Linked DNA regions of Macaca mulatta. The protein of the gene in region 4 interacts with the protein of the main gene of each other region in a biochemical or structural test. Links are inferred from orthologs where the notes say so. Each region holds a gene or a part of one and is shown on either strand. Other genes may lie near its edges. The genes, in order: RNF20, RNF40, KAT2A and H2BC21.

What was found.
Region 1: of the proteins of H2BC21 (region 4) and RNF20, one has a biochemical effect on the other in vitro, tested with the Homo sapiens proteins (3 studies listed by BioGRID). The link is inferred for Macaca mulatta from reciprocal best matches to the Homo sapiens genes H2BC21 and RNF20.
Region 2: of the proteins of H2BC21 (region 4) and RNF40, one has a biochemical effect on the other in vitro, tested with the Homo sapiens proteins (2 studies listed by BioGRID). The link is inferred for Macaca mulatta from reciprocal best matches to the Homo sapiens genes H2BC21 and RNF40.
Region 3: of the proteins of H2BC21 (region 4) and KAT2A, one has a biochemical effect on the other in vitro, tested with the Homo sapiens proteins (2 studies listed by BioGRID). The link is inferred for Macaca mulatta from reciprocal best matches to the Homo sapiens genes H2BC21 and KAT2A.

What each region holds. Positions count from the first base shown.
Region 1 is NC_133420.1:56,828,876-56,832,434, forward strand, and holds part of RNF20 (E3 ubiquitin-protein ligase BRE1A), read right to left. Parts: intron 3,376-3,559; coding exon 3,257-3,375; intron 1,295-3,256; coding exon 1,148-1,294; intron 977-1,147; coding exon 899-976; intron 715-898; coding exon 595-714; intron 1-594. UniProt on the Homo sapiens protein: Component of the RNF20/40 E3 ubiquitin-protein ligase complex that mediates monoubiquitination of 'Lys-120' of histone H2B (H2BK120ub1).
Region 2 is NC_133425.1:29,385,417-29,389,735, reverse strand, and holds the start of RNF40 (E3 ubiquitin-protein ligase BRE1B), read right to left. Parts: upstream 2,854-4,319; 5' UTR 2,782-2,853; exon of another isoform or gene 2,744-2,781; intron 2,668-2,743; 5' UTR 2,597-2,667; coding exon 2,465-2,596; exon of another isoform or gene 2,155-2,464; intron 2,035-2,154; coding exon 1,867-2,034; intron 1,735-1,866; coding exon 1,593-1,734; intron 961-1,592; coding exon 754-960; intron 1-753. Other genes in the region: CFAP119 (cilia- and flagella-associated protein 119), read left to right, coding at 3,383-3,586, 3,904-3,935.
Region 3 is NC_133421.1:66,457,539-66,461,603, reverse strand, and holds the start of KAT2A (histone acetyltransferase KAT2A), read left to right. Parts: upstream 1-1,238; 5' UTR 1,239-1,301; coding exon 1,302-1,640; intron 1,641-1,776; coding exon 1,777-1,900; intron 1,901-2,225; coding exon 2,226-2,371; intron 2,372-2,475; coding exon 2,476-2,565; intron 2,566-2,872; coding exon 2,873-3,054; intron 3,055-3,154; coding exon 3,155-3,346; intron 3,347-4,065. UniProt on the Homo sapiens protein: Protein lysine acyltransferase that can act as a acetyltransferase, glutaryltransferase, succinyltransferase or malonyltransferase, depending on the context.
Region 4 is NC_133406.1:117,264,006-117,268,280, reverse strand, and holds H2BC21 (histone H2B type 2-E), read right to left. Parts: upstream 2,719-4,275; 5' UTR 2,677-2,718; coding exon 2,296-2,676; 3' UTR 501-2,295; downstream 1-500. Other genes in the region: H2AC20 (histone H2A type 2-C), read left to right, coding at 3,011-3,400; H2AC21 (histone H2A type 2-B), read right to left, coding at 3,561-3,953. UniProt on the Homo sapiens protein: Core component of nucleosome. Nucleosomes wrap and compact DNA into chromatin, limiting DNA accessibility to the cellular machineries which require DNA as a template.

The DNA.
Region 1 (3,559 bases), on a different chromosome or scaffold from region 4:
TCATTTCCCTGGTTAAGGTTACTCACAATTTTTTTTTTAATGCTATTGTAAATGGGATTGTTTTCTTAATTTCTTTTTTGTATAGTTTGTTGTTAGTATATAGACACACAATTGTTTTTGTATGTTGATTTTGTAGCCTGCAACTTTACTGAATTCATTTATAGTTCTAACAGTTTTTTCGTGGAGCCTGTAAGGTTTTCTATATATAAAGTCATGTCATCTATAAACAGAAACAACTTTACTTCTTCCTTTCTGATTAAGAGGCCTTTATTTCTTATCCTTGCCTAATTACCCTGGCTAGCACAAACGTAATGAGAGCGGGCATCTTTATCCTATTCCTGATCTCAAAGGAAAAGCTTTCAACTTTTCGCCATTGGGTATAATGTTGGCTGTGGGCTTGTTTTATATGGTCTTTATTATGCTGAGGTACACTTCTTCTACACCTAATTTGTTTAGAGTTTTATCATAAAAGGATGTTGGATTTTGTCTACATTTTTCTTATCCCTCATAAATACGCAGATTCACAACTATGTATATACATGAGTTGATCAGCAAAACATCTGATTTGACTGCCCTTCAGGCATGCGTTCCTACCTTCAGCTTTTCATTTTGTGTAGTGACCTCCTCAAAGTCTTGCCGAAGTTTCTCCAGCTCACAGAGACGGTTCTGAGCCAACTCTTTGTTCTCTTCAAGCTCTGCATTCATTTCCTCAAACTGGAGAGAAACAGAAAAATAGAGAATAAATAAGTATTCTTCTTAAATCATTTCTAAGCTTCCTATCTTCACTGATTCTCTCTTTCAGCAAAACCCCACGATGTCACGTGTGAATACAATCCTAAGTACCTAAGCACGAAGGCTGACATAAAGTCCAAAACATGTCCTAAGTCACTGATTTTACCTTCCGAGCATTGATAGTGATTGTGCCGCCATACAGACTGCTCCCTGCTCCATACACCTTATAACCTTTGGAATTTACCTACAGAGAAGACAAAGATTCTTTAGTGAGAGACTCTTAAGATTTTAGTCTATAACCAATGTACCTTCAAAGGATGAGTTTTTTTTCCTCAAGTACCATGTCCCAAGGTGAGTCTTCCCGCGAACACTCCTTAAAATGATTCTAGTCTCCAAGCCATAAAACAGCACTGACCCGTTCTAGGACTTCTGCTAAGTGTCGGTTGAGTCGCTGTTCCCTCTTTCGAATTTTGTCAATATCCCACTGCAGGTCGTCAATCATGGATTCCAGGACAGACACTCGTGATTCAGCTGTCTCCACTTTACTCTGCAACTTGGAGAACTACATCCCAAAGACAGACATTTAGAAATATATAGCAAAAAAAGACCAAGTTAGAAAAGGACTGCCTAACATATGTAGCTTAAGTTCCAAATTCCACAATATTAACCCTTGCTTATGTGGAATTATATAGAAAAGAGACAAATAGAAGATGCTTCACCCTCTTCCCAATGCATGATTATAAAAATGAAATCATGGATTCCTCCAACAATTCTGGGTCAGTCATAATCATGAAAACTTTAAGTCTGAAGCCTGTAAGAACTCCCAAAGAAAAGACCACCAAAGATTCAACAATTTTTCTACCTCTGAAAAGCACCATTTCCCTGGACAGACTACAAACTTATAAAAATTTTGCATTTTTTAAGAGATAAAAGATAGTCTCTTTCGTTTTGTTAGATAAATATTTTTTTCAAAAAAACCATTTTTACCCCCAAATTTCTCTCTCCACATTCCCACAAAAGGTAATCCATTCAGCAAAAGGAAAACTTCCATACACTTTTTCAAGCTCTCCCCAGAGCAATCTGGAGTCAGATACAATACGGTATACATTATACTATAATCTAGAGTCAGATACTCTAGGAGCTATACACCAGCTAGCACTATTTAGTATTTTAACTACTAAACTATTACATGTTCACATTAATCTATATATACCCTTTGTGCTAGCTTTTAAAGTATGACACAAAAATCCTTTGAAAGTCCTCCCAACAAGAGGTGGGATCTTTGTTCCCTCCTCTTGAATCTGGGTCAACTTTAGAGACCCAATGGAAATGGCACTACATAATTTTGAGGCTATATCAGAAAGGCTATGAAGGTTCTACCTGGTGATCTTGGGATGCTCACTGGAAGAAGGCAGCCAACATGTAAAAATTCCAACCATCCTGAGACTACCATGATGAAGAAGCAACCTGTAGGTATCCCAGTGGACAATTAACCCAGCTGACAGGCAGCATCAACAGCCAGCCATGAGAGTCAACATGGACATCACACAGTTTAGCAAACAACTGCCCTCCAGGTTAGTAATACAATCTGAGATTTGCCAAAGGCCTAGAAAAGGAAGACCTCTCCATCTTGGTAGCACCTAGTCAGTGTCTTAAAACATGACAAAAATATTCTATTTTCTTACTAGACTCCAGTTTATTTATAAGGGCTGCTATATTCTAACCCCTTTGAAGGTCCAGGATAATCCATATGAATTAATAAATTCCCCAGATGATACTCATGCAACCAGCCCAGCCTAGACCTCAACACTGGAGTTTAGTAAACAAAGGCATATGAAGAACAAGAGCTTTGAAGTCAAACAGACCTATAGTCACAACACAGCTCAATCACTTTCTAGCTATGTGCCCTCAGAATAATCACTAACCTCTTTGAATTTATTTCTTCGGCAATAAAATGGGAGTTGTTTTGCCATTAGAGATAACAATCATAAAGTGCTTATATTCTAGGCACTGAGTAAGTGTAACTACTAAATTACTAATTAGCATGAGAATTCAGTGGCTAAACTAAGGTAGGGCAAATTCCAGTAGAATATATTTTGAACTAAATCAAAATGATAATCAGGAGTATCAGAAAAATCATTTAAGGCCTATCATCACTTTATCTTGATCATTTTGTGTAAACAAATAAATGTCCAAATCTTGGCGTGGTTTAACCATGGCATTATTTGTGCCCAAGTTTAGACTGAAAATTCACATTCCTCAAATTCCTAGGACATCATCAATACAGTAGGTTCTACTTCCCCATTCGCTGTTGAATTTCTACCACGCCATTCCTCAATAACATTATACAGTCTTTTATATTTAGGGTAATTCATTATTTGGAGGTGTGGAGTTGTGTTGTGTTTTGCAAAATCCCCTATGATAGGCCTTCTAGAGTAAGGTGATCTTTGAGGTGCTCAGAATTCTAAGTCAACGTCTGCCACAGCCCACTAGACACAGCCATCTCTCTTTTTTGGTTAAGTACCTCCTGAGACATGGTGCGATGCTTTTCCTGAAGAAGATCTGTCAATTCCTGTAGCCTCATATTCTCCTGTGCGAGGAAAGAGTTCAGCTCCTGCACTGCTTCCTCCACTATCAGATTATCTGGGGAAGAAGAACTATACTTTAGTTTAGCATCTACAGTGTCTTTTTTCTTATTTTTATTTTTTGAGATGGAGTCTCACTCTATCTCCCAGGCTGGAGTACAGTGGCGCAGTCTCGGCTCACTGCAACCTCTGCCTCCTGGGTTCAAGCCGATTCTCCTGCCTCAGCCTCCAGAGTGGCTGGG
Region 2 (4,319 bases), on a different chromosome or scaffold from region 4:
TTCTCATGACAAAGCTAGGAGTCTTTATCTCCACTGCACAGAGGAGGAAACCAGCTCAGAGAGGGGAGCCACTTTCCCAGCACGTCCAGGTGAGGGTGGCAGAACTGAAGTGGGAGAAGCCTGTCAACCTACAAGGCCTGAGCCCTTGAAGCTATGCCTTGTGGATCTGCAACCCACACAAAGTGCTCCAGAGGGGCCTCTGGACAGGAGGCTCTACTAGCATCAACAGCTCCTCCAACCCATCTCTCTAGCATTCAGTCCAGGAATCAAAGTTGGAACCCCCATCTACAGACTAACCTACCCCTCCCAAGAACGTGGCTGATATATTCCTTGGGGAATTCTGGCCGCCCTTGGACTTGGGCATTAGGGGAATTGGAAAGGGGTGCCATCAAGATGCAGGTAGGAGGCCGGGCGCGGTGGCTCAAGCCTGTAATCCCAGCACTTTGGGAGGCCGAGGCGGGCGGATCACAAGGTCAGGAGATCGAGACCACAGTGAAACCCCGTCTCTACTAAAAATACAAAAAATTAGCCGGGCGCGGTGGCGGGCGCTTGTAGTCCCAGCTACTCAGGAGGCTGAGGCAGGAGAATGGCGGGAACCCGGGAGGCGGAGCTTGCAGTGAGCCGAGATCGCGCCACTGCACTCCAGCCTGGGCAACAGCGTGAGACTCCGTCTCAAAAAAAAAAAAAAAAAAAAAAAAAAAAAAGATGCAGGTAGGGATGGACACCTCTTGGGTATGGGCACAAAGAACCCACCTCGGCTATACACTCGCTGACAGAGTTCCTCCACCCGGCGCTGTAGGCGGTCTGAGGCCTCTACCACATGAGACACAGCTGCCTTAGAGAACTCCATTCGGCCTTGCAGCTCCAGCTCCACCTCCTCACTGCTGCTGGCACCCAGTGCCACCACAAAAGCCAAGGCCGGCTCACTGAGAGGGGGCCGCAGCTGCAATGGCAAGGGCTCTGGAAGGAATGGACAGACCCTCATGAGGATAATAGCAGCAGTTACCACCACTCTGTACTAAGTTCCAGACTGAGCCCTTCAATATTCATGGCTCACTTAATCAACACAACCTATAGTGCACTATTATCTCCATCCTGAAAGTGAGACAAATGAGGTTCAGGGAGGTAAAGTAATTTCCTCAAAGCTACAGAGTTGCGTATCACATCCTCAGGGATGCCTCCTGTACTTTCCCAATAAAAATTAGAATCTCACACACACACACGTGTGCACACACAATTATTCCCTTTCAAGAGCCCCAGTACTTTCTGCTTACTATGTTTGTAATTTCCTCCCTCATAGCAAATGCAATGAGCAAGTACCCATTTCTAGAAAGCGTCAAATACATAGTTAACACTCAACCGTAATACTGTTTTCAAACAAATGGGTGTCGAAACATGAATTGCTCTATAAACCAAGTTAGTCAGAGTCCAAAGCCTGTATTTTTGTGCACTGCACTTTACCACCCAAACATGAAATCCATTTCGTGGGGAGTAGTAAGGCAGGCAATTCAGAGGCCCAACACCAAAGTCCCCTCCTCCCCAGGACTTTTCCCAGAACTGAAGCTCCCTAGATCCCAGAACTCTGGTCTCACCCCTCAGCTCTGATGTCCCCGGCTCTGGGAGAGGAGTCCCATCACATGTGGGCCCCTCCTGGGTCCCAGGTGCTTCAGGCGCTGAAGACAGCTCCCCCTGGCCCTCATGGCATCGGAGAAGGGCTTCCACAGTTTCATCCAGCTGGAAGGAGAAAGCATCAAAAATGTTATGAATCCCTTAATGCTTTCCAACATTATACCCCTTTTCCAGCAGGGGAATCTGGGGATTGGCAGCTGAATCAAGGCCTGGTCTTGGAAAGCAGAAGGCATCCACCTGGGCCCAGTAGCGATTGACGATGAGGAGTGTGGCATCATCTGTGGCCTGCCGCTTCTCCAACTTCTCAATTCGTTCTCGGAGTTCATCTTCACAAGCCTGCCGTTGTTCCAGCCGCTCTGCCAGTTTTTTGTTCTTGAACTGTAGTACCTTCAGGTCCATCTCCTCCTACCAAAGGAAACAAAGGGGCCGACGAGAATATCAAGCAGAGCCCAGAAACCAATCACACAGAAAGAGAGGAGCAGAGCATCTGGAATGCATGGGAGATGGGGGTATTCCCACACTAACCGCTAACAGAATCTAAGGAGGCTCACACAACCCACAGCGAAAGTGTCTTGGTTGTGAGGAGGCTCACGTTGTTTCTGCCTGTCCCCTTCTAACTCCTTAGTCTTTGACAAGTCACACGCCCCCTGGGAACCTGTTTTCCTATCTGTAAAGGGAAGACAGGCGTCGTGTTCTCGGCTTCTTTCAACAGAGTATCCTGTAACGCGGACCTTGCTAAACTTGGGGAAGTGGGTGTAAGATTCTGGACAATTTGGCCAGGGAACAGAGGGAGGGCTCTGGGAAATTCTGAGGGTTAAGGCAAGAGCCCAAGAACCGTGGAAGAGATGCCTCCAAGACGAATGGGCTCGATAAGAGTGGTGGTGGTCTTCTCCTCACGACTCAGCTTCTTCTCCGGGGGCCCTGAGCCCCCGTCGCCGGCGGCGCGTTTGTTGCCTAGCCCAGACATGGCCGCGGCGGCTGGAGCGGCGCAGGGTCCCCTGAGGGGCGTCAGACGGGAGGAGGCGGTACTTCCGTCACCTGCAGAAGACAGAGAGCAGAGATGTGGGAACGGCTGGTGTTCCACAGCCCCAAACACCCTCCACCCCGCACACACCTGCTGGATCCCGTCCCCGCCGGCGCCAGAGCCCTCACCAGCAACAGGGTCAGCCTAGCGCCGCCATCTTGGATTTCACCGGACGTCACTGGACGTTACTGGCCCCCCCCAACGGTGCGCAGGGCGCAGGCGCCGGAGGCAGCCCCGGATGTGAGGAAACTTCATTATCTTCTGCTTCTATTGGTTACGTTTGGTCCCGCCTCTCGGGTCCTCTGGCTTCTTCCCAAACACCTTCTCTTTCTCTCGGTGATTGGCCAAGAGGCAGTTCCCATAGTAACTGACACCAAGCTCCCACTTCCCGGCCTTGAGGACAGCGCCGGCCCTCGTATTAACAACTTGGAAGAGAGGGTGCTCAGGTGGGCACTCGCAACTTCTTACGTATCTGCGCGTTCTCTTCGCACCCACTGGCGTGAGCTTGCGTTTCCCGCCTTCATTCCTTCACAAGCCCCCTTGGCAACCGTCACCGTTGAGACGGAGGGAGACGCCCCCACGGATTCGCTCCGCCGCGCCTCTCGGCGCGCAGATTGGCCGGAGCAAGACTAGCGGGCCCGGCCTTGGTAGCCGCAGACCGAGCGCTGGCTGTCCTGGAACCGAGGCGGCGGGAGCCCGGGGCGCGCCGCGGCACGGAAGAGCGGCGAGATGCTCAACCGCAAGACCAGCCACTTTTTGGGAATGAGGGTGCAGTCGGAACTTGAACATTTCTCCGAGCTGCGGCGGGAAGCGGGGAAGGATCGCATCTCAGTGCGTGGGTCGGCCGCGCGGACGCGAGCGAGTGTGCGGACCCAGTCGACGGCGGCGGCGGCGGCGAAAGCGGATGAAGACCCCGGAGCCAACTTGTTCCCGGTGAGGGCGGGACAGTCTGGTCCGCTCGTGAATATTTATAAACGGGCTCCCCCGCAGGCACCAATCGTCATTATGCTTACTAACGTTCGGGACGTCTCCCGCGCTGCCTGGGCGAGGAGAGGCAGGGGTGTGTGACCCTGGTGGTTATTGTGCTCACATAGAGCACCTAGGGCCTCCTGAAGCCCGCCCTCGCCCGCGCCTCTCCTTCTTAGTCGTTGAGATGAGATGGCAAGTTACAGCGAGTTCTGGGGCCCGCTGCAGATTCGCGACGGCCAGGACACCACAGCTGCCTTCCCCAATTCGCTTTCTTTCCGCAGCCGCCGCTGCCCCGACCCCGGATCTGCATGTGGTGAGTGTGAAGAGACTTGGGGAAGAGTTACACTGAATATTTGCGTTCTTTCTTTATTGCCTCCCCAACAGTCCTGTCTGTGGCCAGGGCATCCCCATTTTTACAGATGAGGAGACTGAGGCCCAGAGATGCAATTACTCCAGGTGACTGGAAGCCAGCTTTCCAGCATCCCCAATCCAAAGAGGAGACAGTGTGAGAAAAAAAGAGCCAAAGACAGGATGTAAAGGGAGTCTCATGACTGCTATGGAGTATTGTACAGAGGGGGACACTGAGGGCCACAGGGGGGATTTGACCAAGGTCATACAAGGTAGTGGCAGAGCAGAAAAAAAGAATTCAAGTTTCCTAACCCTAGGCTTTAGAAATTGAGAGGCTCATAAGAGTTCA
Region 3 (4,065 bases), on a different chromosome or scaffold from region 4:
TCTCCGCCCTTCCCCACCTTCGTTAATGGGCCCCGAGGAGGCCGCAGCTGTGAAGGAACTGGATCCTCGACCAGGCCAGACCCGAGGGAGCCGGACCGCGGTGCAGCCAACAGCAGATTGATCCCCCAGCTGGAAGGGGGCTGTCTTGCCTTCTAAGGACCAGGCCTGGGGCAAGGATTGTTCCCAGAGAGAGTCAGGGGAGGGCGGCCTTTCTGGGTCATCCACCCTACCTCTCCCTGACCACCCACAACCCCACGCGGACACGCGAGACGAGGAGGCGGACTGGTCTCTCCGGCTGCATTAATTCATCCGCCCCCCGGGGTCTCCTGTGATGCAGGCTGTGGTCTGGGTTCGGGCCACAAAGATGAAGATGCAGTCGGGGCTTTAGGAGAGCGGCTCCCAGTGCGCAGAGAAAGGCTTAGCCGTCCCCTGCCTCACCCTCCACAGTAGCCTTCTTGGTGACCATCGTAACCACAGCTATGCCTCTGGTGCTGTTAATTGATTTTTTTTTTTTTTTTTTTTTTTTTTTAAGAGTCAGGGTCTTATTATGTTGCCCAGGTTAATCTCGAACTCCTGGGCTCAAGCGATCCTCCCATCTCGACCTCCCAAAGTGCTAGGATTACAGGCGTGAGCCACCTCGTCCGGTCTATAAACTTTATTTTTTATTTTTTTGTAGAGATGGGGTCTCCCTATGTTGCCCAGCCTGGTCTCGAACTCCTAGGCTCAGGCGATTCTCCTGCGTGAGCCAGCCACCCGGCCTGATAAACTCCCTTTTGTTGAGTGATGCTATTAAATACATACAGAAAAGCGCACGAAAAGGTGCAGGTGAATGTCAGGAGGAGAACACACCCAAGTCACCACCACACTGCTGCAGAACTGTTGTTACGTCTCATCTTTACCGCAGCTGCAATTCCATGTCCGGAGCCGCGTGGGGCAGGGCCTGTGCGCGAGTTGGGGGAGGGGGTTAAGTGGGAGAGAGGCGCAGGAAAGAGGCAGACCCCACGATTGTCCCCAAGACTCCTTGTCCCCAAGAGGACAGCCATCGTGACTCTCCCGGACACCATTAAAAGAGATTACAAGTCAAGAGGGGTCAATGTGGGGCCTTCGCTCAGGCCTCACTTGGCTGTCAGGGGCCAAGAGACCAGACAGAAAAGTCTGGAAGCTGGAGGCAGTGGGGGAAGGCGCTGGAAGACTACAACTCCCGTCACGCGCCGCGCAGCGACGCCTGCGCACTGAACGCCGGTTGCCCATGCGGCCCTAGGGCTGGGAGCGCGGCGCCGCTCTCCGCTGCGGGGGAGGCCATGGCGGAACCTTCCCAGGCCCCGACCCCGGCCCCAGCTGCGCAGCCCCGGCCCCTTCAGTCCCCAGCCCCTGCCCCAACTCCGACTCCTGCACCCAGCCCGGCTTCAGCCCCGACTCCGACTCCCACCCCGGCACCAGCCCCTGCCCCAGCTGCAGCCCCAGCCGGCAGCACAGGGACTGGGGGGCCCGGGGTAGGAAGTGGGGGGGCCGGGAGCGGGGGGGATCCGGCTCGACCTGGCCTGAGCCAGCAGCAGCGCGCTAGCCAGAGGAAGGCGCAAGTCCGGGGGCTGCCGCGCGCCAAGAAGCTTGAGAAGCTAGGGGTCTTCTCGGCTTGCAAGGTGGGGGCGGGGCCTGGGGTGAAGGGGCGGGGCTTGGGGCATCCCTGGGCTCGGGTGGGAGTGGGGTAAAAGCTCAGGCTGCGGAGCGGCTCTTGCCCCAGAGGTATAGATCATTGACTGATCCTTCCGCCTCCAGGCCAATGAAACCTGTAAGTGTAATGGCTGGAAAAACCCCAAGCCCCCCACTGCACCCCGCATGGATCTGCAGCAGCCAGCTGCCAACCTGAGTGAGCTGTGCCGCAGTTGTGAGCATCCCTTGGGTAAGGCAGGCAGCGCCCTTGGAGCTGGGGGCAGCTGCTTGGACAGGGTGACAAGTGCCACAAAGCCTCATCTCTGAAAAATCAAAGATGCCTCGAAGGAGGGATTGGGTTGGGGGGTGTGTATGCACCAAGGGAGGGGAAAGGAAATCTCTCAGCCCAGAACAGGCCCAGGCAACCCAATGGCTGTTATCGCAGCAGTCAGTCTCACTATTGGTCACACTGGTTGGAGGGACGGAGTGTGCATCTTGGTTGGCTGTGAAGAGGGTCAAGAAGCCTTGTTGATTTCTTCTATCAATTTTTCCCAACTCTGTCATCTGTCTTGCAGCTGACCACGTATCTCACTTGGAGAATGTGTCAGAGGATGAAATAAACCGGCTGCTGGGGATGGTGGTGGATGTGGAGAATCTCTTCATGTCTGTTCACAAGGAGGAGGACACAGACACCAAGCAGGTCTATTTCTACCTCTTCAAGGTGAGCTTCTACTGAAGGAGGGTGTGAATGAAGGAGGTGGGGCCTTGAGGGGTTGTCTGCAGCTCTGCCCCGCTCCCCTCTATGCCCCTTCCTCTTCTCTCTAGCTCCTGCGGAAGTGCATCCTGCAGATGACCCGGCCCGTGGTGGAGGGGTCCCTGGGCAGCCCTCCGTTTGAGAAACCTAATATTGAGCAGGTGGGATAGGGAAATTGGAGATAGCGGAGAGGAGAATTGGGGACAGCTTGGAGGAGTGGGGAGCCTGTGTTCTCCATCCTCCTCAAGCTGAGAACCGTGGGGAGGTTCAGAGAAGGGAGGGTGTTTTGTGCTAACCTCAGGGTGGGCATGGTGGTAGGGAGGGGGCAGAGCTTTTCTATAGAAAGCACCCGAGAGAGAGAGGAGAACCTTGTCCCTGGCCTCAGGGAGCCTCTTCCTTTGTCTAAGAAGGCCCTGCAGGCTGCTCACATCTCATTCCTGGTTTTATTCCCCACCCACCCCTTCTCAGGGTGTGCTGAACTTTGTGCAGTACAAGTTTAGTCACCTGGCTCCCCGGGAGCGGCAGACGATGTTCGAGCTCTCAAAGATGTTCTTGCTCTGCCTTAACTACTGGAAGCTTGAGACACCTGCCCAGTTTCGGCAGAGGTCTCAGGCTGAAGATGTGGCTACCTACAAGGTCAATTACACCAGGTAGGCCCAGCCAGGGGCAGCTTCGGGGGAGGCTGGCAGGCCCAGCCTGGGTTCAGTGGTTTCCGCCCTCACCTGTCTCCCCCTCAACTCCCTACTCCAGATGGCTCTGTTACTGCCACGTGCCCCAGAGCTGTGATAGTCTCCCCCGCTACGAAACCACTCATGTCTTTGGGCGAAGCCTTCTCCGGTCCATTTTCACCGTTACCCGCCGGCAGCTGCTGGAAAAGTTCCGAGTGGAGAAGGACAAATTGGTGCCTGAGAAGAGGACCCTCATCCTCACTCACTTCCCCAAGTAAGGCTCCTTCTGGCCTATCAGGATTTGGCCCCAAGTTCACATCCTCCCTGTTGTCCCCTTTTTTCCAGGAAGGCTTCCTGGATTGGTCCCTCCTCTCCCTCCATGGGCCTTCTGGGATCTGGGCGTCTACCTGGCAGACTTGCCCATGGCCCAGAAGCAACTTGCTAGTACTAGTCTGGGGATGGCAGGTACATAGCCCAAGCTAACGCTGCCCCCACCCCACCCTACGCCCCGGTAGATGTTACTAATTGTTTCCCATGGGGGCCTGGACACAGCCTCAGACTCCTTCCCTGCACAGCTCTCCAAGAAATCAGAGCTTATGCTTGAAGTGAAACCAATTTCTACTCCTGTTCTGGTCTTTTCTGTACAATTTTCTTCTGTTCGGCCACACCTTTTAAAATCTGGGTCATAACTCCCCTGTTCAAAAAACCCTCACTGACGAATCCTGGCTCTCTAGTGCCCTCCGCCATCAGGTGGGAACAAGAGATGGCAAGGTGGGGTGGAGTCTGAGCCCATTTTGATACTGAGGGCAGTGAGGGGATTCAGGGTGACAAGGTGCCCTCCCTGGCCACACAGCACAGGATGACATCAGCTCAGACCTGTCTCCCTGTGCTACACAGCATGGTGAAACTGAGCTTCTTTGATCTCTGTCCTGGATGTGTCCTGTTGTCTTACCTTCAATTGGAGGCTCCCAGAAGACAGGGGCTGTCCCCTCT
Region 4 (4,275 bases):
GTTTTCAGAATGACCCTGTTTCTCAAGTCCCTTAACTGCTAACCTAGGAGCTTATCCTCTGGAGAGTTTCTGAAGAAAGGCTTCTCTTTGCCTCAGTTTCCTTATCTGTAAAATGGGTGATAATAATGGTACTACTTCCTGAGGTCCTGGTGAGAATTAGATGAGTCAATATGTATAAAGGGCCTAGAACACTACCTGGCACACAGTAAGTGCTCCGTAGGTGTTAGCTTAACTTCATTATGAACTTTAGTTCTTCCATCTTATTTGTACTGCTTTCTATTTGTGATCATATATTTTTCAATTACTAAGCATTAACAGTGGCCTTGTAAGAGACTATTTCAGCCCTAGTGCACCTTTGGGGCAGCAGTTTGGCTGGTGGCTTATAAATAGTCATCCCCCAGATCAGAGGCACCCATGCTTTTCTATAGACCCTGTGTAAGTTGTATCTGTTAATTTCCTTCATTGAGAAATATATACTGTAGATAAAAGAATCCAGCAAAGCCTTCAATTGGTAACTTTATTAATAACAATAGCATCTACACACATTTGAAAACACACATGTAGGAGACAGTTAAGATTTATTCAGTCTGTGATAATGTCTAGAGCTCATTTGGATTCATCAGACCCCTGCTATCAACTCCAAAAACCCTTAGCCAAAAACAGAGTTGAATCACTCATCAAACCATCAGTGTCTTCCTCGGCAGAATCAAGGGTTGGACAGAAAGAGTAAATATTCTGTACCTCCACAAAATAAAACTAAAATGCAATTGTCCTGCATCTGAGAATACAAGGGTGGACAGTATGAGCTGCATGACTGTGAACCAATGAGGCTTCTCTTGGCCTCATTTGTAAAAAGGAGATTAACCCTGTAGTCCTGCCTATCTTGCATGGCCTCCTGGAAAGCAAATGAGGTGATGACTGTCAATTAAAAGCTCCTCTCCTTTAAGAGGGGAACACCAAGAGGGGAGAGTAAGAAAAGAAGGAAAAGGCTCTTTCCAGTGACCAATACGCTGAATTTGATGAAAATCCAAAAGAGGTTATGCTAAACTGGGAAGCGTAAGGGTGGATCTACCATTGCCACCTCCTCTTTGATGCAAAAAAAATCTTAACACGGCCCCCTCCCAGCTGTTGCACTGAGGTGACTAAGGACACATTTGAGGAAGTAGCTCCAAAAACATTTCCATTTTCACCGTGCCTTCACATACATCTAACGGAAATGAACAGCACCCATCATCCATCCACGAAAGCGATTAAGAAAACGATGGGATGGAAAAACTAACCCAACAATATTACATCAATACGTAGTATTTAGGTAAGTGTCCATAATGTGCCAGGCTGAAGATGCACGGGAAAACCACACCAGCCGGTCAAGGGCTTGAGAATACCATAAACAAGAAAACAGACGAACCAATTTCAGACAGCTGCTAGAAGGAAGATAAAATGAGACAGGCAAGTATGAGCGGCGCGAATTCCTTAGTGGATGACGTAGATCTCTGACAGGTGACTTTTGAGCCCGTATCTACACGGTAAGTGCCTCGCAGTGACCTGGGGCCGCAGCCTTACCCTTTAAAGCAGAGACCATTAAATGCAAAAATTATCAACAAAACGAGAAATAGGAATTTCAAAGTCTCAAAGTGAACGACGGAAACTGAAATCTACAAATTAGAAAGAGGCGCAGAATTTTGAATATTCATGTCGCCCAATCAGGAAAAGGCTGGGACCCGGCTGCGCGGGCTTCGTCCAAAATACACAGAACGGCTGGTATCCACAGGAGACCCCATCGCACAGCAGAACTGGTGACCGGACACAAAAGGTGCTGCCAAGCGTCAGTCATACACAGCTGTCACGCAGTGTTTGCGGAACCTGGGCTGAATCGTGCCCTGGAGTTCTCTTAAATAACAGCCGAACTCAGCCACTTCGTTTTAGAATGAAACAGACCCAAGAAGCCACCAGGGCGCCAGTATGGGGCGGGAGTGGGGGCGGGTAAAGAGGCGGATTCCCAACATCCTAATTGAGAACCGACTCCTGGGAATGCTAAGCAGCACAATGAGTGAAGACACGCTCTAGATTCAAAAGCAAATCCAATCATGCACCGGGGACCTCAAGTTCCAAATGGTTAAAAACCTACGTGTGGCATTTCCCATGACCTTTACGCTAAAATTACTTTATGAGAAGAAACTAAGGGAGTAAGTGAACAAGCTCTTTTCTAGTGATTAGGTGGGTGGCTCTGAAAAGAGCCTTTGGAGTCAAGCAGCCGGCGACTCGAGCGAGCGAGCGCCAGGTCCCGGCAGGGACTCACTTGGAGCTGGTGTACTTGGTGACTGCCTTGGTGCCCTCGGACACGGCGTGCTTGGCCAGCTCGCCGGGCAGCAGCAGGCGCACGGCCGTCTGGATCTCGCGGGACGTGATGGTGGAGCGCTTGTTGTAGTGCGCCAGGCGGGACGCCTCTCCCGCGATGCGCTCGAAAATGTCGTTGACGAAGGAGTTCATGATGCCCATGGCCTTGGACGAGATGCCGGTGTCGGGGTGGACCTGCTTCAGCACCTTGTACACGTAGATGGAGTAGCTCTCCTTGCGGCTGCGCTTGCGCTTCTTGCCGTCTTTCTTCTGGGCTTTGGTGACGGCTTTCTTGGAGCCCTTTTTAGGAGCCGGAGCGGATTTTGCCGGTTCAGGCATGGTAAGACACAGTACAAACGCGGCTTAGCCAAGAAAAGAAGTAAGAGAATGGGCGGGCCTGATTCTTTTATAACCACCTTATGCAAATTAGGGCTCCGAAAGTCATTCATTTCCATTGGTCCGTGTGCGGACCTTGCGTTTTCAGCAATGCGTACGCAACAACACCGACTCTTGACTTGATTGGCCGGTTCTGAAGCCATATTAGGACCAATGAAAAACTCGTTCTAGACCCCACCCCTAGGAAAGCTTATAAAGGCTTTCCTCTTGGTTCTCTTTCAAGCTTATTTTGTAGCGAGGTTCTGAGCATTGTCTGTGTTTAACCTTGGTTTCAGTCATGTCTGGTCGTGGCAAACAAGGAGGCAAGGCTCGCGCCAAGGCCAAGTCGCGCTCGTCCCGCGCTGGCCTCCAGTTCCCGGTAGGGCGAGTGCACCGCTTGCTGCGCAAAGGCAACTACGCGGAGCGGGTGGGGGCTGGCGCGCCAGTCTACATGGCGGCGGTCCTCGAGTACCTGACCGCCGAGATCCTGGAGCTGGCGGGCAACGCAGCTCGGGACAACAAGAAGACGCGCATCATCCCTCGTCACCTCCAGCTGGCCATCCGCAACGACGAGGAACTGAACAAGCTGCTGGGCAAAGTCACCATCGCCCAGGGCGGCGTTTTGCCTAACATCCAGGCCGTTCTGTTACCAAAGAAAACTGAAAGCCACAAAGCCAAAAGCAAATAAATGCAGACAAACAAACCAAAGACCAAAGGCTCTTTTTAGAGCCACCCAAGTTTTCAAAAAAAGAGCTAATGCGCTATTTCGTGATCAGCCCTTCATTTGACACTTTGGTGGCTCTTAAAAGAGCCTTTGGGGTGAATGAGTATGGTGTCAAGCCTCTTAATTACTTGTTCTTGCCAGGCTTGTGACTCTCCGTTTTCTTGGGCAACAGGACAGCCTGGATATTGGGTAAGACGCCGCCCTGGGCAATGGTGACACCCCCGAGTAACTTGTTGAGCTCTTCGTCATTCCTCACGGCTAGTTGCAGATGGCGAGGGATGATGCGCGTCTTCTTGTTGTCCCGAGCCGCGTTGCCTGCTAGCTCCAGAATTTCCGCGGTCAGGTACTCGAGGACCGCCGCCAGGTACACCGGGGCGCCTGCCCCCACCCGTTCCGCGTAGTTGCCCTTGCGCAGCAAGCGGTGCACTCGCCCCACCGGGAACTGGAGGCCAGCGCGGGACGAGCGCGACTTGGCCTTAGCGCGGGCCTTGCCTCCCTGCTTTCCGCGTCCTGACATTACGGCTAAAATTGCAGTTACAGCTTCTTTTACAAGGAGAAGAATGTGGAAAGAATAACCAATTTGATGTAATTTATAAGAGCTACCGGGAGGGGTGAAGGGAAGTCGTTTGATTGGCTAAAAGCGGAGCCGTATCCAACAGCCAATAGAAAAACAGAAAGCCGCCTCTTGGTTTGCATCCTGCCCTGAAAGGAAATGACGGATTTCGTAAGTATCTACCAATCGCTGAGAGCCACATTAAAGCCCCTTATTTGCATGGCAGGATCTTTAAAGAAAGTAGGCTTTCAAACAAAATGTCTTGTACTATGGGGTTTTGCTTTGC